Danio rerio: one gene and its partners. The protein of the gene in region 6 purifies or fractionates together with the protein of the main gene of each other region. This does not show direct contact. Links are inferred from orthologs where the notes say so. Each region holds a gene or a part of one and is shown on either strand. Other genes may lie near its edges.

Region 1 (4,090 bases), on a different chromosome or scaffold from region 6:
TAAATTGCCCATAGTGTATGAGTGTGTGTGCGAATGTGTGTGGATGTTTCCCAGAGATGGGTTGAGGCCGCTGCGTAAAAACTTGCTGGATAAGTTGGCGGTTCATTCCGCTGTGGCGACCCTGGATTAATAAAGGGACTAAACCGACAAGAAAATGAATAAATGAATGAAGACAGCAGAGGTCAGTGACTCATTGAATTATTCAACCTGACATGTTTACTGCTCCAAAATATATTAAATACTTCTCAAATTAAGATATATTGTATTCAAAGGGAAACTTTTAGTTTTTTACTCAGACATTTAAAAAGAATATATTTTAGAGCAGTAATCACTATCCCATGAAACTGTGGTATCTTTATCCAAGGTTATTATACCGCCAGAATCTTATACCGACCAATGCCTATAGTTAACTAGAACTAATCAACTAACCTACCACTAACAACAACACAAATATTGTAATAGAGCAGCTTTACTTTCTCTCAATCAGTTCACAAATGTAACTTTGGTTACTAGTTAGCTATGACTAACCAACCCAACACTAATACATGTTTATTATCAGATATTCACAATGAACAAGTGGCCAAATAAACAAGCTGCATTACATCCTCTAAATCAGTGAGTTCACAAAGGACACTTTGACTACTAGCCATAACTAGTACTAACTAACCCATGTTTATTATCAGATATTCACAATGAACCTGTGGCCATTATTGTGATACATTTGCTAAATCAATGAGATCATTAAGGCGACACTGACTACTAGTTTTCTAGCACTAACCAACCCACCCCTAAACAGGTTTATTATCAGATATTCACAATCAACAAGCAGCCAAACAAACAACATTTTGAGCAGTATTACTTACTCTATATAAGGAGACTTTAACAGGTTAACTAGAACGAACCAACCCACCTATTACCAAACATGCTTATTATTAATATTATTATGATTATTATTATTATTATAAAACATTCACAATGAAACACAAATATTGTAATGGAGTAGCTTTACTTTCTCTAAATCAGTTCACTAACATGGCTTTGGTTACTAGTTAGCTACCACAAACCAACTAACCTACAACTAAACATGTTTATCATCAGATATTCACAATGAATCAGTGGCCAAATAAACAACACAAATATTGTAATAGAGTAGCTTTACAAAAGTACCTTTGGTTACTAGTTAGCTAGCACTAACCAACCCAACACTAATACATGTTTATTATCAAATATTCACAATGAACCTGTGGTCATTATTGTGATAGAGTAGCTTTACATTTGCCAAATTAGTGAGTTGATTAAGGTGGCTACTAGTTTTTTAGCACTAACCAACCCACCCCTAAACAGGTTTATCATCAGATATTCACAATGAATCAGTGGCAACAGCACAAAAATTGTAATAGAGTAGCTTTACTTTCTCTAAACCAGTTCAAAAAGGTGGCTTTGGTTACTAGTTAGCTAGCATTAAACAACCCAACACTAATACATGTTTATTATCATATATACACAATGAACAAGTGGCTAAATAAACAAGCAGCATTACTCACGCTAAATCAGTGAGTTCACAAAGGTAATTATGACTACTAGCCATAACTAGCTCTAACCCACCCCTAAATATGTTCATTATCAGACATTCACAATAAACCAGAGGGCAAACAAACAACATAAATATTGTGACAAAGTATCTTTACTTTTGCTAAATCAGTGAGTTCGTAATAGAGTTCATTGACTACTAGTTATCTAGCACTAACCAACCCACTCTAAACATGAGTATTATCATCAGACATTCACAATGAACAAGTGGCCAAATAAACAAGCAGCATTACTCACGCTAAATCAGTGCGTTCACAAAGGTGATTATGACTACTAGCCATAACTAGCACTAACCCACCCCAAAATATGTTCCTTATCAGACATTCACAATAAACCAGTGGGCAAACAACATAAATATTGTGACAAAGTACCTTTACTTTTGCTAAATCAAAGAGTTAATAATGGCGTTCATTGACTACTAGTTATCTAGCACTAACCAACCCACTCTAAACATGAGTATTATCATCAGACATTCACAATGAACAAGTGACCAAATAAAGAGTATAGATATACTTTGAGTAGCTTTACCTGTGCTAAATCAGTGAGTCCATGAAGGAGATGAGTTTATAACCAGAACTAGCCAACACACCCCTAAACAGGTTTATCGTCAGATGTCCACAATGAACAAGCAGCCACATAATACAAATATCACGTTAGTGCATCTTTACTTTCGCTACGTCAGTTAACGTTAGCTCACACAGGCGATGAAGTTTACTAGCTACTAACTAGCATTAACCAACCCACACAGAACTTAGCAGTTAACGTTACCAGGAAAAGTAACATAAGTTAACGTAACCTTGTCAACAAGCCACTTTCCGCGTATCGCGTGATCTCTGAGGACTTTTTGACAAGTATTTGAAAGTGTTTTTGTTTGTTTGTGTACACACACACACACACACACACACACACACACACACACACACACACACCTGTAGGCCGCGATACGTCAGCTCTGCAGCCTTGTAATGGTTGTCGTGTTTGATTCTCGTGACCCGTTTACCGACCTGAGCCCCGGAGACAGGGGACCGATCGATTCTCAGCCGAAACCGAGAGTAAAAGTTTAGCGGCGGGACTTTCCCTTCCGCGCGACACCGCAAACCCCCCGTTGGCGCCGTTCACATGCAGAAACCCGGCATTAAAGCTCGACTTACCGTCCATGTCGCGGGTCTCCACAGCTCTCGGTCACTTTTTAACGTTTCCGGGCGACGGTGAAAAATAAACGACACACCGCGACAACACTTTCCTTCCGCGCGCCTCCGCGGGACTACAGCAGGCGCGCTCCCGTGGGCGGAAATACCCGGATGACGCGATTCATCATCACCAACACGACTGCTGAGAACACACGCGCACTGTAGATTAGCTTATGGGCAGTATTTAGCAATACAAACTTATTTGTCGACCAAAATCAATGTCAAATGAAGATATGGACTCAGATGTCTTGTTACATATTCACTGTTTTTGGAATAATATACTGTATTTGGTGACAAATAATGAGAATACTTTTGGCTTCTTCACTAAGAAAAGTCTGACATAATCATCTAACTTATATTCAACTATCTAGTAAACTATCCAGGCCTGTAGCCAGGGCGGTTCAGAAGACCCAGCCCTAAATGACTAGGGTCCAGAATTTGTCAAATACAGTTGAAGTCAGAATTATTCGCCCCCTATTTATTTTTTCCCCCCAATTTCTGTGTAACAGAGAGCAGATTTCTCCAACATATCTCTAATCATATAGCTTTAATAACTCATCTCTAATAACTGATTTGTTTTCTCTTTATCATAATGACAGTGAATTTGACTAGATATTCTTCAAGACACTTCTATACAGCTTAATGTGACATGTAAACAAATCAGACTTTCTCCAGAAGAATAAAATATTATCAGACATACTGTGAACATTTCCTGAATCTGTTCAACATCATCTGGGAAATATTTAAAAAAGAAAACAGATGCAAAGCCCTGCTAAAAAATCCAGCTTAAACCAGCCTAGGCTGGTTGGCTGGTTTTAGCTGGTCTACCAGGTTGTTTTAGAGGGGTTTTGGCCACTTCCAGGCTGGTTTCCAGCCATTTCCAGCCTGATCTTAGCTGGTCAGGCTGGAAAATGACCAGCCAAATCCAGCAAAAACCAGCTTGACCAGCCTGGTTTAAGCTGGATATAGCTGGTTTTGGCTGGACTCCCAGCTTGGCTAGGCTGGTCAAGCTGGTTTTAGCTGGTCATCTCCCAGCCTGAGCAGCTAAGACCTGGCTGGAAATGGGTGGAAACCAGCCTGGAAGTGGCCAAAACCCCTCTTAAACCAGCCTGGTCGACCAGCCTAGACTGGTTTAGGCTGGATTTGTCAGCAGGGAGGGTGCTTATAATTTTGACTTCAACTGTATTGCTGGCAATGCGAATCAGACTCCTACTCTGTTCATACAGGGATGAGAGACAGCCCTAAAATAAATATTTTTGGTACATCAAAAAGTGTGGTTATAATGACCACCCAACAAGCTAATCCAGCTA
Region 2 (3,937 bases), on a different chromosome or scaffold from region 6:
TCACCTGTACCACATGTCTTTGGACTGTGGAGGAAACCCACGCGAACACAGGGAGAACATGCAAACTCCACACAGAAACTAAACCGAGGTTCAAACCAGCGACTTTCTTGCTGTGAGGCGACAGCACTACCTACTGCGCCACTGCCTCGCCAAATTTAACAATAATAAATGTATACTGGAGTGCATGTTATGTCTGCGGACAGCTTTCCCTGTCAATGCCTATGAATGGTACTTAAATTAGGGATGCAACGATTAACAGATTTCACCATGGTAAATTAATCGTAAGGCTTCTCAACATCACATTTCTGCACGTAACAAAACTGCTGCAACAACTTTTACGCCAACTGTGCATTTGTATAAAGTTTCAAACTTGTACACCATACGCACACTGGATTAAAGGCTGACTTAATCTATGGCGAAGGCTATTAATTTAGGGCCGTTCACAATATCATGAATTTTGCGTTCTGAGAGTCACATGACAAGAACTGCACTGATAAGCTGTATACTTTGTATGAAAAATAAATGAAAATACCAAACATGTTTGTAAAATAGTTGATCAAAAGTGCCGTTCAGACAGGATCAGCAGCCTTTGACTAGATTTTTTTTGTCTTTAAAAGGGAAATACTTGGATGATATGATGCTTAGATTTACGTTAGACAAAAACTTTTGTTTAAAATGACTCTTTTTATGTATTTATGCATTGTTCTGTCATTTGTTTTCAGTGTAAAATTATTTGTTTAAATGTTTAAATAAACACTTTTCACTTATTTTTACTTCAAAATAAAAACAAACAGTTTATTTCTTTCTTTGGGTTTCTGAGCAGCAATAAACAACACTTTTTAACAACATTCCCATCCGTATGCAAAACTTAAAGGAAACCAAGTCTTAGCAGCTTTTTTAATTACAAGTGTCTAGTAAATGTCATTAAATTACAATTTAATTAAACTGCATTCACCTAAAACGGTGCTTTTAAAAAATAATTCAAATCTTTTTGGCAATTTTTTGAAGAAAACCAATAGATTTCAGAATTATTTGGAGAAGTGATGAAAAATGCATAATGCTAATAAAACTAAGGCTATAGTGATTGTGGAGACAGAACTGAAGACTCATTTGCATGACATTTATATATAAACAATAAATTGTTCAACTGTGGGAGAATTAAAATGTCTTCATATAAAATCGACTACCTAAAATAAACCCGCCATGATAATGTACTTAAGGAAAGTGTTCACGATCCCCACTCTCTACTCACACAGGGCTTATTTTTCCATTATAATGCATATGAATATTAATAAAGACAATCTTGATGCATAAATGAAGTAAAGCATGTTGACAGTTTTTACAGACGCTAGGACACATTTCTCAATACTTGGGTCACTTCTGCAAAACTCTTCACACAATTCTCCAGACCGACTTTCAGCTTGGCAAAGCAGTTCATTTCACATTCAAAACGCTCCACGACTACCAAAACACTGTATTCAGCTCTCAAATAAACTCATTCCTCCAGAACACCAGCAAAGGAGGACAGCCCACAAACACACTCTGTCACCCACAAAACAATAAGCTAAACACACTAACAACAATGTGTAGCATTACACTGAGTGTTCTGGTGTAAAACAAGGACACATCTCAGTTCATAACTGCAATATATGTTGCTGGAATGAATCAGACATGATGCAGAATATTTTAAGTTGTTTATTTATTTGTATTTTATTTTAAGCAATTCCCCTGCTAAAAAATCCAGCTTAAACCAGCATAGGATGGTTGGCTGGTTTTAGAGGGGCTTTGGCCACATCCAGGCTGGTTTCTAGCCTGGTCTTAGCTGGTCAGGTTGGAAAATGACCAGCTAAAACCAACTTGACCATCCTGGTTTAAGCTGGACATAGCTGGTTTTGGCTAAGCTGGTCAAGCTGGTTTTATCTGGTCATTTCCCAGCCTGACCAGCTAAAACTAGACTGGAAATGGCTGGAAACCAGCCTGGAAATGATCAAAACCCCTCTAAAACCAGGCTCAACTAGCTAAAACCAGCCAACCATCCTAGGCTGGTTTAAGCTGGATTTTTCAGCAGGGTCCAAAATACAAGTATTTGTGTACACACCATCCACTGATATAGAGACAATAGTATAATATAATATGATAATATATATATATATATATATATATATATATATATATATATATATATATATATATATATATATATATATATATATATATAATATAATATACAATAGTTATGCTAATCTGGCTGGTTAAACTGCATTTCTAGATGTGAAATGTGTCTCGATAAAATGTTTCTGTTGAATTTTGTTGTCTTATTCAGTTTTGCATGATGTTATTGTTTTGAACATCAGTTCTGAAAACAGTATAAGCATGTGCAAAATGTCCTGTAAGTACACAGAGTTTTGTCAGTTGTGTCTGTGTGAGATATGGGCATTGAATGCAGTTTGTGCCAAAACTATGAGGATAGATCCTCAGTTTAGCCCACTGAGACTTCTGTTGTGCTTCACTCTGTCAAGAGTTTAGCAAAAGTGTCCCAACTATTGAGAAATGTGTCCTAGCGCCTGTAAAAGTGCATTTACACACGTAATAACAAGTATGAAAAGTTCAGACGACATCACTAAAACTACCTCCAGCAACAGTTGTTGAGCCGCTTCACTGCCTGTAAAATATGATAATCAGAGGACATGAAACAGATGTTAACTCTAGCGTGTTAATGTTTATTAAACACAAACAAGCGCAAACTTACCGAGTCAAACCGAAATACAAACACTTCCCACGCATGCGCACAAACTCAACTTCCCACCAATCACATCTCTTGATTTTACGTCTTGAATGCAACACGCTGCGTCTTGAGACGGAAAATGTGATTGGTGGGAAGTTGTGGTTGAAATTCGCCCTGAAAACTCAGATGAACAGTGATCAGTCCGCTGTATTTGAGTTTATAATCTCGAAAAAGTTTCCGAGGTAAGTGACTCAACCGAAATGGTAGGAAAGGGAAGAGTTTAAAGCTTCATAAAATGATTAATTGACTGGAATCGGTTGAATCACGGCACACGGGCGACACCTGCAGTTCACAACAGTTAAAACAGGGCTGCCAGAACACGCGCCAAACAGGTGTCGAGAAACGCACCCCTGCCGTGAAAATGCACCGCTTTCATTAGGTTTCTCAACAGTAAATAAAATCAAAGGCCACGATTGATTAAATTGCAGATATCCAACACTGGCCACACCCGTTCATGACACCCGTTGACGCCAGAATTGAACATTTTGCCGGGCTCTGCAACGTGCACTCGTCTCACCTATATATATATATATAATTTTAATTAATTATTAACAGTTGATTTGTTTGTAATTGTAAATTTGTTGCAACTATAAGTACAACAAATGACCAGTAATTAATGGTTTAAAAATAATATGTTGCTTACAATGAATTACTATAGTATTTAATGTGGGAAATCATTAATAAAAACGATATTAGACAAAATAAAATACTATTAAATGGCTTGAGTGAAATATTAATAGTGTTATGCATTTGTTACACGTAGAAAGATTTTTATTACATATAAAATGTTTCATGTATTATTTTTATTACATATTTAATGTATTATTTTTATTACATATTGAATTTATTATTAACAATAGCATATTAACTTGCTATTATTTCCCTTATTATAAATGAATCCATTATATAAATCAAACCTGTCCAATTTAAATCAAGACATACAGCAATCGAGTATCTGCTATAGACTCCGACAGTTCATAATTAATGACGGATCATCTATGATGACTGATAGAAAGCTGATCAGTCTGTTATATTGAATGGCAATAAACAACACTCCCCATTCGCCCTTCTCGATTGCAGTATTTGTGAAATTGTAAACACTTTTGCTTATTGTTAATAGTATTTATTAACACTATATACAAATATAAATTG
Region 3 (3,500 bases), on a different chromosome or scaffold from region 6:
AAAGGTAAATTGCATCATAACAAACTACCTCAAGACATGGGCGATTTATAATTGCAGCAAACTGTTTGCAAGCATCAAAAGGGTCCAAGAAGATGTCCAAAATCTTTACACGCATTGACCCAGAGACTGTTTAGATGCATGTCACTGATGAGAAGATGACAGATGTTTACTGTATGATGATCGAAATAGCCTTAAACACCCAGCTGGCACAAGACGTCAAAATGACATTAGATTGACGTTGTACCCCAACGTCGTGGAGACGTTACATTTTGTTTGGAATTGAAAATCGGGTTGACGTCAGAACTCAAAGTCAGACCGATGCCAATGTCCAACATACAACCAAAAATCAACCAAATATCAACGCCAAATGATGTTACTGTCACGGTATGGGGGTGATGAAGAGGAGGCGAGGACCCAAATGCAGGGAATGAAGAGTTTAATGAAAAATAAAACAAAAACAAAACTCAAATCTCCCCATGTGGGGAAAAACACAACATATTACACACTCAACTAGACAAGGTCTGGAACTTGACAAGACAATACATTAAACCACTGTTGTAGACTAGAAATCAGCAGATACAACAGAGAAGGGAACAATCAATAACGGACCAGCACGGAACAGAGCACACTAGGAGAATAAATAGGAAAGACAAACCAATAAACAGACAGGCGGACAGGTGAAAATAATAATTACAAACAAGGTAACAAGGTGGGTGGGACAAGACAATAGACGGGAGAGCGCATGACACAGAGAGACAATACAAGCCATGCGCTCACACAACACAACACTGAAGCACACGACAAAAGCACGTGACCACAATGTAAACACCGAGCCACGTGCTTTGACAAAAGACGCAAGACACGAGCACACGATGAATGAAAGCACTCACCGTGCGCGCACACACACGCAGCGTGCATGCTTCATCCCAGCGCCGACCAAAACCGAAACCAACAAGACTGAGACGCTGGGAATGAAACACCACGCTGCTGACAAACGAAAACACAAACACGAGTACAAGAGCGCACGCGTCTGAGTGACGCAGAGCGCGCGCGCGGCCGCGTCAAGCAGGAACGCGCACACTCTACGTACACCCATGACGGCGCGCGCTCACACAGAGACAGAAACAGGACCCGACATGAGAAGTGTCAGAGCTCTGCCACCAAAACAAGAATTTACAAGACCAAAGTGGCAGAACCCTGACAGTTACAGTTTGACGTTGTGTGGACGTTACCACTATGACGTCTATCAGATGTTGGATTTGGTTGCCATACCTGATGAATAAATGTCAGTATTTGACGTCAATATGAAGCTAGTTTTAAGGGGTGGTCCAGAATGTAATTTTAAGGCTTAATTGTGTTTATAAGATGCAAAGCAATGTGTGCTCATGTTTCACTTGAAGGAAATCGCGTTATTTTTTCATATATCTCACTTTGATTATACACAGCTACTCAGCTAACATGAAAATGACTGTCAAATTTCCTAGTTCCTCTGAAAGGCCTGCCCTTAAGTGACTCTGATTGGTCATCGTCATAATGTGCTGCTATTCGCGGATTGGCTCCACGTCACGCCCATGAAAGCATGCGCTTTTCTGCTGTGTAAACAATCATTCAACCACCTGCCTGCTCACTAAAATAAAATCTGACAAGTGTCTGTAACGAGTGAAAATTGGGTGCAGCTCCTTAAAGAGACCTTGTCTTTGTGTGTGTCTATGTGTGTGTGTGTGTGTGTGTGAGTGAATGTTGTCTGCGTCTATGTGTGTGTGAGTGTGAGTGAATGTGTGAACTTTCTGTAACAAGCGCATGTGCACGGGAGTTTTTTTTTCTTTTTCTCTGATGCTCGGATTAAGTTATTTTCTATAATATATCGTGACAGAAGAATAAAGCACAAGATGTGTGAGCCTTGATTTATTATTCTGCTGCTACCACGAGTCAGGTAAGCTAACCTGTATTTTTTTAACTCTATGCTTTACAAGACGGCTTTCATATATATCCGGAATATGCAGGTGTAAGTAATATGAATCATCTACATATCTTTTGCGACTTCATTATCTGAGATGTGAAAAACATGGAAAAACTGCCTGAAGACAATCAATGCAAAGTCGCGCACACACATAAGAGTCACGAACGTGCTGGTGGAGTGTGTGTGTGTGTTTACAGCAGTTTGACTGATAAATATGAATTTGTAGCTAAATCGTTTGCCCGCAAAGCAGCATTTCGCATTGTTTACATCGTTGCTACAGCGTACCGTTAACGCTATACACTGTACATGTCATGATCAATTTTAACAAATAAAAACACTTACAGGTTGTAGCTCACAGCTTCTGCTTTGAGGAGATTTTCTGCTTTTGCGCCTTACCTGCGCAGTTTGTATGCACAGTAAACGAACCTTTGTGATCTCACAGGGGGTGGAAGTATTTTTTGTAGTCCCCAAAATTTGTTCATTGTAGGCTTAACTCCGTAAAAATCAAGGTCTCCCTTTGCATTAAATTGAGAACTTTTTACATTCAGAGATGTTGTTTATATTCACACAGCTACATTACACATCAACTAAAGTTTAAAATATGATATCATAGTGGACCACCCCTTTAAGTTGTTGGCTCAATGTTTTTGTTCACTTCCTAAACCCTAAAATCAATCAAATATCAACGTCATTTGACGTCATTCATCCTTGGACTTCAAAATAACGTTCCTAGATGCTGGCTAACCATTAAATTTAGGTCACAATCTAAATCTAACCTAATATTAACGTCTTATGACGTTCTGTGCCTGCTGGGCAATAACTAAATGCACTACAGAATATTACGTTTACACACATCCACAAATTAAATGGTACTCACTACTCGAGTACTTTTAAAAGGGCTACTTTTTACTCATACTTAGAGTAATATTTACAACAGATACTTTATCTCTACTTGCACTACATCTACTTGCACTACTTTAATTTATCTAAGTATGATTTTTTTTCAGTACTCTTTCCACCACTGCATTTCTTAATATTATCAAAGTTGAAAACAATGAATATTTTCTTGAAGAATTTGTGAACTTTTTTTCATGATTCATTTCAAACTAAATATAAAATTGATTGATATAGAAACATTTTTTAAAATTATACATTTCTTGGTCACTTTGTCAATTTAGTGCATAAATATAAGTAATGGTTCTTTAAAAAATAATAATAAATTGCAGACCCAGATCTTTGAAAGGCACTTGTTTTGCATTTGCAGCTACTGTAATTGCTTGTCTGAAGGAAAAATGTGTTTCTTTCAGGCTTGGTTTGATTTACTCACCTGTTTAAGGTGCACAACAATTCCACTCTTCTCGACCATGGGGTTTTTCTTATAATGCTCTACTAAATCTGCTAAGGTGTCAAACCTCTCCCCTCCTCCTACATCATATTTTCCATCCTGGTAAAAGACATAAAAAAATTTTTTTTTTTTAAATAGACATTTATTTTAATCTTCTTTTTTTTCCTTAAGGAAATAGTGAAATGTTACCCTGTT
Region 4 (3,500 bases), on a different chromosome or scaffold from region 6:
ACAAGTCATGCCAATAAAGCTCATTTGAATTAGAATTTGATTTTGGGAGAGAGTGAGACAAACAATATGTAGTTAAAATCTTAAATAAAAAGTTACCTGGGTGGAAAAAGGTGTCTTTGCTTCGGTATCAATAGCAAACAGTTTCTCAACCAGGTCGAGTTTAAATTCAGAACTGATGTCTGGTTCCACTGGGAAACCGTAATCCATGGGGCTGTTGGGCTAAGATTGACAAAAAAAAACAACCTAAAGTCAGTGACAGTATCTCATTAACCATTACAAGGGAGCAATTGTTGTTAAATGACCAAGAATAGCAAGCGTTTAATAAGTGTTTACCCCCGAAGAGCCGAGTCCAGATGTGGAGGGTGTGTTTGTGGGGTCTGGCACACGATCAGAGGCAGAGCTGAAAGGGAAGTCCTCTCCTCCAGTCTCTAGTTTGGTCAGAGCTGGGATGGAGTCGCTGGGTGTGAGAGGAGATAGGCTGAGTGGCAGCTTCTCACTGCTGGAAGGCAGCATGACATCATTGTAGAGGGGCACCTCCTTCAGCAGCTGTATGTCAGAATCTGGAGGGAAATGGATACCGGTAATTATTATTGGTAGACCACCAAGGAACTGTGTGTATTTAATATTAGATTTACTTCAGTAAAATTATGAAAGCACATTTCCTGTAATCTCAGATGATTAGTGAATGACAAGAGTTGTTAGTCTTCATAAGATAAAAAGCTGCCAGGGGATTGCATTTAATCCTCTAAAGCAGTGTTTCTCAACTATGTGCCTGGAGGACCACCAACACTGCATGTTTTGGTTATCTACATTGTCTGTCACACCCATTATAGGCCTTTCAGTCTCAGGGAAAATGTGCAGAGCTGGTGGTCTACCAGGAATGTGGTTGAGAAACACTGCTCTAAAGATACACACTCTTGAAATGTTTATGGTCAGTAATACAGAGTTCACACCAATTGCAAGTTGAAGTATTCACATGAGTAGATTACATCCAAATTCAATGCAAAATTCTGTTAAACATAAAAGATGACTTTAGCAGAGTATAGGAAGTTGGTAGCCATTAGCTATGTAACAAACCTAGATTATCGCATAAAATGTGTGTATAAAGCAGCGTTTCCATCAAAGCGAACAAAATAGTCATTTCCTGATTAACTGGCACCAAATATCAACCAAAAAAAAAAACGAACTTGCTGGAGTAGAAGAAGCTGTGTCAATCTTCTCTTCATCTAATAAATGATTTGCACCTTAGAAGGCAATCCTGACACGCAATGAATGCGCAGTGGCGTTTGAAGGTGTGAGACACGAAGCACAGACGCTCTTGATTCTGGAGGTCATTAATAATATAATAACACTAATACTTAAACGGTAAGGCAATTTAGAATGACCAAAACAACATTTCAGCTGTTTTATATTGTGCTCAGCCAGCTGGTTTGTCCATTTACAAACATTTTCATCACATGATCTCTTATAACAGAATCACATGACCATTTTTAATGCTCATAATGAAATTTGTGCGGTAAAAGTGTTTTCATCGTAGTTTACACTTCTTTTCTTATCGAATAACAAGTTTATCCTACTCAGTTAAGCGCATAAGTTCATGCGCATTTTCAAAATGTATGCGCATCGTGGCGTTTCCATCAATCGTTTTTTTTTTTTTTTTTTTTAAATAGGTGGATCGAAGCATAGCTACTGACTTACATTGTAGGAAAATAAATACCGTTTAAGTCAAATGATACTAGTTTCCATCATTCAATAAAGAAACAAACATTTTTTTCTTCCATTCAGCATGCGGTATGAACTTCCATTACAACAACTCTTCCAGCAGTTCATAGTTGCATCCAACATCTCGTTTGTCATCGGGGGCATGCACGAATGAAAGTGAAAGTGCCAAACCGCAGTTAAAGTTGACAAATTAACAATAAAACACCCGAAATTACATGAAACTTCGGAGGAAATGCGGATAATGCGGTGACGCAATGACGGTAATCTAAGTATGTGCTATAACATGTAAAATGTGATCATGAAAGAAACTTTCAAAAAGCAACTCATGTAAACGCCTTTATCTTATTATTGTAGATTAAGGCAAATAATTCGATTACTGATGTCCATGTAAACATAGTCAGTGAAGTCTCTTACGTTGCAACAGAAATTTATTCTCTAAATAGACGTGCATTTGAACTTTCTACTCATTAAAACATTACAATTTTCAACAATGACTACAATAAATATTTCTTGAGCGAAAATCTGCATCTTAGAAATGACTTCCAAAGAATCCTGTTAAACTCTAAAAGCATACATCCCTGTTCATACATCCCCCAAATTACACTTTAAAGGTTTGTTTATGTTTAATGCCATGCCAGGTTCTTTGGTTATTTTCATGGCGAGAAAATATCAACTGACTGCAGTAAAGCTTAAGTATTTTTTCATTTATTGCTAAAATCTCTTAAACCATATTCGGTTTAACAGTGATAAAAATGTATTCAAAAGTAGCATAGTGGAACTAAATAAAAAAATGTCTCAAAGAATTAAAGCCAACACAAACTGTGTTGAGAGAGAACATGCTTCACAGATAAAGTGCTTTTGCAAAGACAACAGATTGGAGGATCTACTCCTACAGGTGAAAAACATACTGGGAGTATCTATAATTGTACTAAAAAACTGCGTGTCATCTTTGATTGACCCATTCTACAGTGGGTATAAACAACTTGATTCCACCAGTTAGAAATTTTAAGGTTTCTTTATCAATATTGGGGCTAATTTCACAGAGTTCACTTTAACTGTAAAAAATTAAAACTATAGACTAGAAGTGTTAATAAACATTGCAGGAATGTCCCTTAAGACTAATCTAGATGTGAATATATAAAAAGATATGTGCATCTTTGCTCATGGATCTTTTAATAAGCTCTCATTGAAACTGAATGAATTTAGGTGGCTTCCAGTTACTCTCAAATTACTGAAAAAATGTACCCATCCAGCAAGAATTACCTGAGTTGTTGAAGTCCAGAGAGATAATGGCGTCGCCTGCTGCAGGTGCCAACACAGTGAGGGCCTCTGGCTCCTCTTTCAGCTTATTATAAAGTGTAGAGCTTTCCAATGAGCAATTGAGGCTTTCTGGCTTGAAGAGCTTGAGAATATCCAATTCAGAGGTCTTTTCCTCAGTCTCCTCACTTTCTTTCTCAACAGCCTTGGGCTCAGTCACGGTCTGCTGCAAGGACAGGACTACATCCCCCTCTACAATGCCACTGGATAAGACAGAGTAGTAAAGTTGAAAATATGAGTTAATTAGCATTTATGCATACATTTTACATAGAAACGCACAATATATCATTTCAGAATCAATATCACAAGTGAATCCACAATAGTTCTATTGCAGGACCTGCAATGTCAAATTAGGATTATAGTTGACCAGGAACCACAGGAGTTTTCAAATACATGATTTGTAAAGTCATTGCTAATTTGAACTTTAAAGGTACAAAAAGTTTAACATTTGTATGTTTTTA
Region 5 (3,500 bases), on a different chromosome or scaffold from region 6:
TATTGTCAACATTGTGATTTTCAATAGTCAAAATGAGGGACTTACATTTGCGTTCTGGAGTTCCAGCACTCTGGTGGTATAATATGACTTCACGTCTTCTGACACTAGTGTTACCACAAAACGCGTGTCACGAAAAGACATCTCTCTCTCTTCTTGTGTCGGCCAATATTGTGCACACTTTTCCTTCATAACAAAATTTAGAAAGAGATTAATAACACTGCCTCAAATGTTTAATCATTTGAAATATGATGACTAATATTCCAAAGTAAATTATTACATGCAATTAAATAAGTAAAGCAAGCAAAACACTTGGATTAACGCTGAATGAAAGATGTGTGTTAGTTATAGCTTTCTTTAAACAACTTTTTGTTCTTAAAGCCTAATATAGACTTGCTGTTTACAGTAAATACCTCTATATATAAAGAAAATATATTGCTTTCTGAGATACTGAACAAAATGCTCAGTTTAATGTAGGGCCTGATGAAATGTAATTTTTCTAAAATAGTTTTAGAATAGTTCACTCAAAAATGAAAACTGCCTCACTATTCACTCCCTTTTTATAAAGGTTTTAAACCTTTATGTGTTTCTTTGTTCTGTTGAAAATTGAAAATCGTGGATAACCATAATAGGAAAAACAAATACCATGGAAGTCAATGGTTACCGGTTTCCAATGTACTTCAGAATAACTTCTTTTGTGTTCAACAAAACAAAGAAACTCAGAAAGGTTTGGAACAAGTAAAGAGAAAGTAAATACTGACAATTTTCATTTTTGGGTGAACAGTCACATTAAACAGTACTTTTGTGGCTTAATATTAAGACAATAGTCTCAAATGTTTCAATATCATACTTAAATACAGTTCTTGCATAATTTATTTTAATTTGCTTTTACCTGAATATATATATATATATATATATATATATATATATATATATATATATATATATATATATATATATATATATATATATAATTTTTTTTTTTTTTTTTTTAAACAGCATTGTTGTGTGCTTTTGTATAAAAAATAGATTTTCAATTTTACTTATTTTATTTCAGTTAGTTTTCTATAATTTTTATTTATTTATTTATTTGACATGGACATCACAATTACACTGGACAACCAAATGCATTTGTTTAAGTGTTTTAGCAAACTTGCTAATTCTCAACACCTGTCCACAGGAGGCTTGACAAAATGGAAATATAATAAATAAATATACACAACATTATAATTCTTCACATTAAATTACTGAAGGCAAAGCAAAGACGACATGATCCAACAAACTAACAGTAGACTATTTGTGCAAACACTGCTGTTTTGTTTTTAACCACTTTTTAAAAACACCATTAAAAATATTTATATTACTTTCTGATTTTCTGATAAATGCTATAGTTTCAGCCAACAATAACACTACATGTTCTAGACCTCTATTATTCCTTCATGTGGTTCTACTTGAAACATACTCCCATATACCTGCAGAGACTCTATGGAGCTCTGTAATACATACTTAGAGAAAGACTTTGTGTTTGTTTTAAAAGCATGGAGGCTAAACAATCTTAGAGTAGTGCTTTTAAATAGAAAAGGATCTATTCTTACCGAGCCTTTCTCTATTACTCTATTAAGCATGATGACTGCTTTGGTCTTCTGTTCCCAGATCATCAGCCAAAAGTGACCACAGGTGTTTCTCAGAGGACCCTGACAATAAAGAAACACAGTCCAGTTTGACAATAAGTAGGGTTTGATCGCAATGCTCAAAAGAATCTGACTTATGTAACAGCTCCCAAGAAATGTGAACCCAAAACCAGCCTAATTCTTCAGGCAGATTAGTTTACCGTTCACAGAGTGAACCCTAGTTGATTTCATAAACATGTAGTCTTACACTTCTCTACAAATGCTATGCAAAATCAACACCACAAAGTCTGACACACCTACACATTTGTTAAAAATAAAGATCAAACCAAAGCCATGTTTCATATGGCTGACTAATGTATTTGTGAGCTTCTGTATGCTACCCACACAACTTTGTATCAGAGGTGTAAACCTGCCACCTGCCTACAGCGTTCTATAGTAACATCAGCATAAAATAACTGTCAGTGCTGAAATTAAGGAAAGCAAAGGTTGTGGAACAGAAGGGTTACAATAAGGTTTTATTAAGATTAATATTAAGGTTTGCAAAATCGTTTGCGTGTGTCTGAGCACAGCTTTCCCTGTAGGTTAGTCTACTGAAAATATCTTTACAAGAAAAGTGCCTGCTTGAGGCAAATTAGTCGCAACATCAAAACAAAACCTTTCTAACACTAAAAACAAGTCCTATGACTGTTTTCTTTCTTGACTCTTCATATTTGTATTCATACAGCTAGCATTAGCATTAGTGTAAAGGTGTTAGTCAAACATTCATATGATTTCTGCATGCAAAACAGCATGAAATATCTCAAATTATTTCTCAAGTTTTGGCAGAGCATTTAAAAGAACATGTAAGATTTAACTGAAGTGAACTGCAGAAGTAAAAGTAATACCACAGTGAACAAACCCATACAGTGACAATAGTTTCCTTAATAATAATAATTGAACAGGCATTGGCAAACTTAAAAAAATATATAATTTAGGATTAAATATTCAATACATATTTTATTCAATATGTGGATATAATAAAATCAGTTTATATAGTACAATACACACAAATTAGTGATTAGATTAGATTCTTCCGCAATAATCATAACAGATATAGGCAAAGGCAATAAACTGTGTGGATACTAGTAAAATCTTTACAACATTCTATTTAGAAATAATCTAATCTTATAATAAATCTACTTAGGAATTAAATGTAAATAAATAAACTGCTTGCCCTACAAACCAGTCTGTTTATGACTATACATTAAAAAGAAAATACGATAGGAAAATACCAGAATAATAAAGAGCTGTTTGATATGATCAAATTCAATGGAAGTGAATGAGACCAGAAGTCTCACATAGGGATGCAGAATTATTATTATTTTTGGCTGAAAGAGAAAAACTGCCAAAAATATGAGCCGAAAAACTGTGCAGTGATCAGGGCACTGATTTTACTCTCCCCCCAGCTGTAGTCACTGCGCATTTTGAAGCAAGTTAAATCACACCACATGTAAAAAGCACTCAGAAACCTATTCATTTCAATGGCTTGCTCTACACAAGAGTGATTCAGAGTGAACCACCAATTAGCTTGTACAAGTGCAGTCAAGTTTAAGATTAAGTTAAGTTTAATATTGTGCACTGTATAATCCGCTCATGTACATGTATATCTCTCATCAGGATGAATCTCTCATGACAGGACATTTCTATGATATATACATGTTCCTGCTGTTTGCAGTACGCTACTGTGCTGTCAAAGCAATGCTGGTAAAATGATGATTCTCCACTGTCAACAAAATTTAATTATTTTATTGGCTTATGTGTTTTTTTTTAAATTAGTATAATTTAAATAGTTCTAAATTTAAATAGTCTTACAAAATTAGTTTGTTATATAAT
Region 6 (4,116 bases):
GTTTTAAGGCCTTAAACTTGGATTTTGAGATGTAAGATAGTTTTTATGACCCTGCAGAAACCCTGTTAATGAGTTTTGTTCTAAAACACGGTTTTTAGGTATATGAAAGGGCTGCACAAAATTGGGAAAAAAAACCTGACATTGCGATATTTTGTTTTTCAGCAATTTTCAGATTTTTCAGATTTTAAGATTTTATTACAATTTGTCAGCTGACTTAAAATTGGAAATACTTCATAACTTTAGTTTGATTGGGATGATTTTTAGTAGAAACACTCCTTCTAAAATATCTTCATGAAATACAATAAACAAATCACAAGCATAATTAAATACAACGCTGCAAAGATAAAACTGAAACAAACAGAGCTTTATGCTTTTTTTTCTGAGTTGTGTTCCATATTCAGACACAAATTATCAAATAATCAAATGTAAAATAAGACCATTAAATTCACCATAAACTATTTAATACGATTAATCTATCATAAAGCTACAAATATTATAATTTCTTGGTCTCAATTTATTTAAACTACAGTCAGCTCTTTGCGATATCAATGATGAAATGATATATTGTGCAGCCCCAATAATATCTAAGGTAATAGTAAATGACAAATTTAGTAAGTGTCTTTTGTAAATCATTAAAATGCATGATAGCAATTTTATTTATCAATGTTTGATAGCAAATTTTTTTTTATTCATTCATTCATTTTCTTTTCAGCTTAGTCCCTTTATTAATCAGGGGTCACCACAGCTTAATGAACCCACAACTTATCCAGCATATGTTTTACGCAGCACATGCCCTTGCAGACATAACTCAAAACTGGGAAGCACTCATACACACTTATTCACTACAGCCAATTTAGCTTATGTAATTCACCTATAGCGCATGTCTTTGAACTGTGGGGGAAACTGGAGCACCCAGAGGAAACCCACACAAACACGGGGAGAAGATGCAAACTTCAAACAGAAATGCCAACTGACCCAGCCGGGGCTCAAACTAGCAACCTTCTTGCTGTTAGGCGATCATGCTAAACACTGCGCCACCTTGACACCCCCAAATTATTTTTGCCTCTGAAAAAAAAAAACATTAAAGGGATACCCAAACACTCTGTAATCATTTACTCTCCCTCGTGTGGTTTTAAAACATGATGAGTTTCTTTCATCTGTTGGAAACAAAAGAAGATATTTTGAAGAATGCTGGTTGCTACGACCCCCTAAAATCCACAGTATTTTTTACTATGGAAGAGAATGGGTGCCAGCAAAAAGCATTCTTCAAAATATCTTTCTTTTTTGTTCAACAGTTGAAGAAATCTTAAACAGGCTTTAAACTAGTAAATGAAGAATTTTAAGGTGAACTGTCCCTTTAAGGACACTCTCTTGAGATACGGAGAAAAACTGCCAATCAGAGTGCACCAGTGTCTAACGTGTGCACATCTCTCGTCGGTGGGAACTGTGAAACTGGTTTCATTTGTCGAGTAAAGCAAAACTCGGCGAGGCGACATGAAAGCCAGAAGCGAGACTGCAGTGGCCGAGCAAAAGCGCGCGCGCAGGTCGGTCTCCATCACCTCTTACTCGAGGATTCCCTCGCCATGTACTGGAAGAGTGACGTCATGGGGCAGAGGTGGGGAATACCCGTGGAGGCAAAAAAAAAAAAACAACAAAAAAGATACCTATCCAACCAATGCAAGTACGAAAGCTGCCAGATTGGCATACAATGCGCTTTTTATGCTGAATCGGTGGCGCAAATCCAAGCCAGATTATTAAACAATAATGAGAAGTGAAATCAAGAGACTTTTTGTACTATAGGTGGTTCTAGTACTGCTAAACAGCTTGTTGTCTATTAATTTTGGTTGATATTTATTATTATTATGAACACGTACTTATTTTGCAAGTGTATGCAAGTACTTCATCACGAGGTGCAATATTGTAAATATAAATGCCAGTAAAATTGACTTATGAGAATTATGCCTTTTTAACACTTGTCTCTTTCTTTTTATTTGCTCCATTTCAATGTTTTTTTCTCTCTCTTTTTAATTGCTCAATTTCATTGTCTTTTTTTTTTTTGCTCCACCAGCATCTATCTGATACACTTTTCCACTATTATACCCTGCCAATCATGCAGATAAAGCGTTGTTGACCGACTCTGAGAGGATGAATGGATTCCAATGACAAGAAATGGCATCTATAAGCGTAAAATGACACAAACAAACAAAATCTGCATTGAGGAAAAAAACAACTACAACAGATCAAGTGAAGAAGAAATAAACTCTACAAACATTCATTCAAGCAAACTTAATGATTCTTAATACTTCTGTCACGTCTACTGAATCGACATCATACTAAAACGAGTTTGTTTGTTACACATGTAACAAGTATCAACTGTTGTCTAGTCAGGTCACAGTATCTTTTAGCTTCATTTAACAGCCAAGTGGAAACAATGTGTACATTATTTCCGTCACGAGAAATCAATCTAGCGGTTTAACGTTATAACATAATTCAAACATCAACACAAGCAGAACCACCTGACAACAGAAAGCAATGTACACAACAGAAACATCCCCAAAAATTGCGTCAAACTGCGTTTTCCTTTAAAAAAGCGACGTGGCTGGACAACTTACCCCTTAATGTGTCGCTCAAGGTTTCAGATAAATCGTCCTCCACGGAAACAAGCGCAGTCAACACGTTATTGACTACAAAAACAAGCGTTTTAGAGACGATATGCTATCGTAAAACGAGCTTTTCCAACTTTTCTGACACTGCAAACACGCGAGCTACGGTGGTCTGTGCGAAAATGGGCTGCACGTTTGCGGTTCCGCTTTGATTGACATGTCTCTGACGCAGTCGCGAGCGAGTTTAGAATTCTGTCCAATCGCTGAGCTCGAATGGCGCAGAAGAGGCGGGACTAAGCGCGCGCCAGCTCGAGGCCGCCTGTGTTTGTTGCTCTGGCTGTGCAGGCTGTTCCGGCTGCCGGTTCCTCCCGTGTAAAACCGTGTTGTGATACGCAGCACAGCGGGGGGAAATCCAGCTTCTGGAACAGCACGGCTGGAAGTCATCTGAATTACTGGCAGCGCCTACGTCATCTGGACTTTTAATTCAGTGGATGTGAAGTGTGTGCTGTCGTGACGTTTGGCGTCATCAATGCGTCTCTTTATATAACTTTGTGCACCTATTCAGCATAGTGATAATTGAAAAGCCATTAAAACTGTCCAACTGTGCTCTAGTTTCAATATTTTTGATTAATGTAAATGTCTTGCTTATTTGTATTTGTAAGAATGTTAGTTAATTACTTATACTTTTGTTTTTTATGTTTGTTTTGTTTATTTATGTTATGTATTGTTGTTATCATTTACTTTCTATCACCATGTATATCATCATGTATCTGTTGTTTAAAGCATAATAAATAGAATAATAACGAAATATATATATATATATATATATATATATATATATATATATATATATATATATATATATATATATATATATATATATTTTGTAACTTTGTGCACGTTTAAGTGTGTGAACACAAAATAAAACATGTTTTAATCATCATTTCATATCAAGTTAGAGTAAGTATAGTGTAAAATAATGTCTTATTTATTTCTAAGAATATCAAGTTTAAAAAGTCAACTATGTTAGAAACTTTGACTTTACAAATAACTTTGTAAACTTTGAGCAAACAAATAAACAGTTTCTTGGCTGGACTATAGCTTTGTAAATGAAGACGTCTGGTTTAGTCAATAGCTGCACATCTTTTTGCATTTATGATTAAAAGGTTTGTGTGTATATGTTTATTTTTTATTTGCTTTTTTTATTATATTATAATTTTTATTATTTCAAAACTGATATGTGCAGCTACCATGGTATTTTTGACCACACATATTGAAATAAAACTCCCCTCTGATTTTCCCGAAGAAAATAAAAAATAATTTAATTATATTGTTACTTTTAGTTTAAAAATTGATCTTCCAGGTATACGACTGTATTTTTAACCGCAGATATCGTAATAAAAACCCCTCTGAAATTCCCAAAGGACACCCATGTCGAATTAACTTTCTGTTATAATCAAGCGGCTTTTTTTATTTTATTTTTTTTACAATATTCTGGCTAATCTTTTGATCC

The links.
Region 1: the proteins of stat3 (region 6) and rela purify together in Homo sapiens (affinity purification with western blotting; 5 studies listed by BioGRID and IntAct, with this or other methods). This does not show direct contact. The link is inferred for Danio rerio from reciprocal best matches to the Homo sapiens genes STAT3 and RELA.
Region 2: the proteins of stat3 (region 6) and trim59 purify together in Homo sapiens (affinity purification with western blotting; 4 studies listed by BioGRID). This does not show direct contact. The link is inferred for Danio rerio from reciprocal best matches to the Homo sapiens genes STAT3 and TRIM59.
Region 3: the proteins of stat3 (region 6) and ptpn11b purify together in Homo sapiens (affinity purification with western blotting; 3 studies listed by BioGRID). This does not show direct contact. The link is inferred for Danio rerio from reciprocal best matches to the Homo sapiens genes STAT3 and PTPN11.
Region 4: the proteins of stat3 (region 6) and hif1ab purify together in Homo sapiens (affinity purification with western blotting; 4 studies listed by BioGRID). This does not show direct contact. The link is inferred for Danio rerio from reciprocal best matches to the Homo sapiens genes STAT3 and HIF1A.
Region 5: the proteins of stat3 (region 6) and ptpn2b purify together in Homo sapiens (affinity purification with western blotting; 7 studies listed by BioGRID). This does not show direct contact. The link is inferred for Danio rerio from reciprocal best matches to the Homo sapiens genes STAT3 and PTPN2.

What each region holds. Positions count from the first base shown.
Region 1 is NC_133182.1:1,094,741-1,098,830, forward strand, and holds the start of rela (transcription factor p65), read right to left. Parts: upstream 2,801-4,090; 5' UTR 2,749-2,800; coding exon 2,742-2,748; exon of another isoform or gene 2,520-2,741; intron 1-2,519. UniProt on the Homo sapiens protein: NF-kappa-B is a pleiotropic transcription factor present in almost all cell types and is the endpoint of a series of signal transduction events that are initiated by a vast array of stimuli related to many biological processes such as inflammation, immunity, differentiation, cell growth, tumorigenesis and apoptosis.
Region 2 is NC_133190.1:1,620,635-1,624,571, forward strand, and holds the start of trim59 (tripartite motif-containing protein 59), read right to left. Parts: upstream 2,801-3,937; 5' UTR 2,785-2,800; coding exon of another isoform or gene 2,750-2,784; 5' UTR 2,690-2,749; coding exon 2,631-2,689; intron 1-2,630. UniProt on the Homo sapiens protein: E3 ubiquitin ligase involved in different processes such as development and immune response. Serves as a negative regulator for innate immune signaling pathways by suppressing RLR-induced activation of IRF3/7 and NF-kappa-B via interaction with adapter ECSIT.
Region 3 is NC_133198.1:26,914,107-26,917,606, reverse strand, and holds part of ptpn11b (tyrosine-protein phosphatase non-receptor type 11b), read right to left. Parts: intron 3,405-3,500; coding exon 3,288-3,404; intron 1-3,287. UniProt on the Homo sapiens protein: Acts downstream of various receptor and cytoplasmic protein tyrosine kinases to participate in the signal transduction from the cell surface to the nucleus. Positively regulates MAPK signal transduction pathway. Dephosphorylates GAB1, ARHGAP35 and EGFR.
Region 4 is NC_133195.1:22,873,867-22,877,366, forward strand, and holds part of hif1ab (hypoxia inducible factor 1 subunit alpha b), read right to left. Parts: intron 3,243-3,500; coding exon 2,986-3,242; intron 561-2,985; coding exon 334-560; intron 220-333; coding exon 97-219; intron 1-96.
Region 5 is NC_133194.1:13,490,921-13,494,420, forward strand, and holds part of ptpn2b (tyrosine-protein phosphatase non-receptor type 2), read right to left. Parts: intron 1,692-3,500; coding exon 1,593-1,691; intron 184-1,592; coding exon 46-183; intron 1-45. UniProt on the Homo sapiens protein: Non-receptor type tyrosine-specific phosphatase that dephosphorylates receptor protein tyrosine kinases including INSR, EGFR, CSF1R, PDGFR.
Region 6 is NC_133178.1:15,703,926-15,708,041, reverse strand, and holds the start of stat3 (signal transducer and activator of transcription 3), read right to left. Parts: upstream 2,801-4,116; 5' UTR 2,613-2,800; intron 1-2,612. UniProt on the Homo sapiens protein: Signal transducer and transcription activator that mediates cellular responses to interleukins, KITLG/SCF, LEP and other growth factors. Once activated, recruits coactivators, such as NCOA1 or MED1, to the promoter region of the target gene.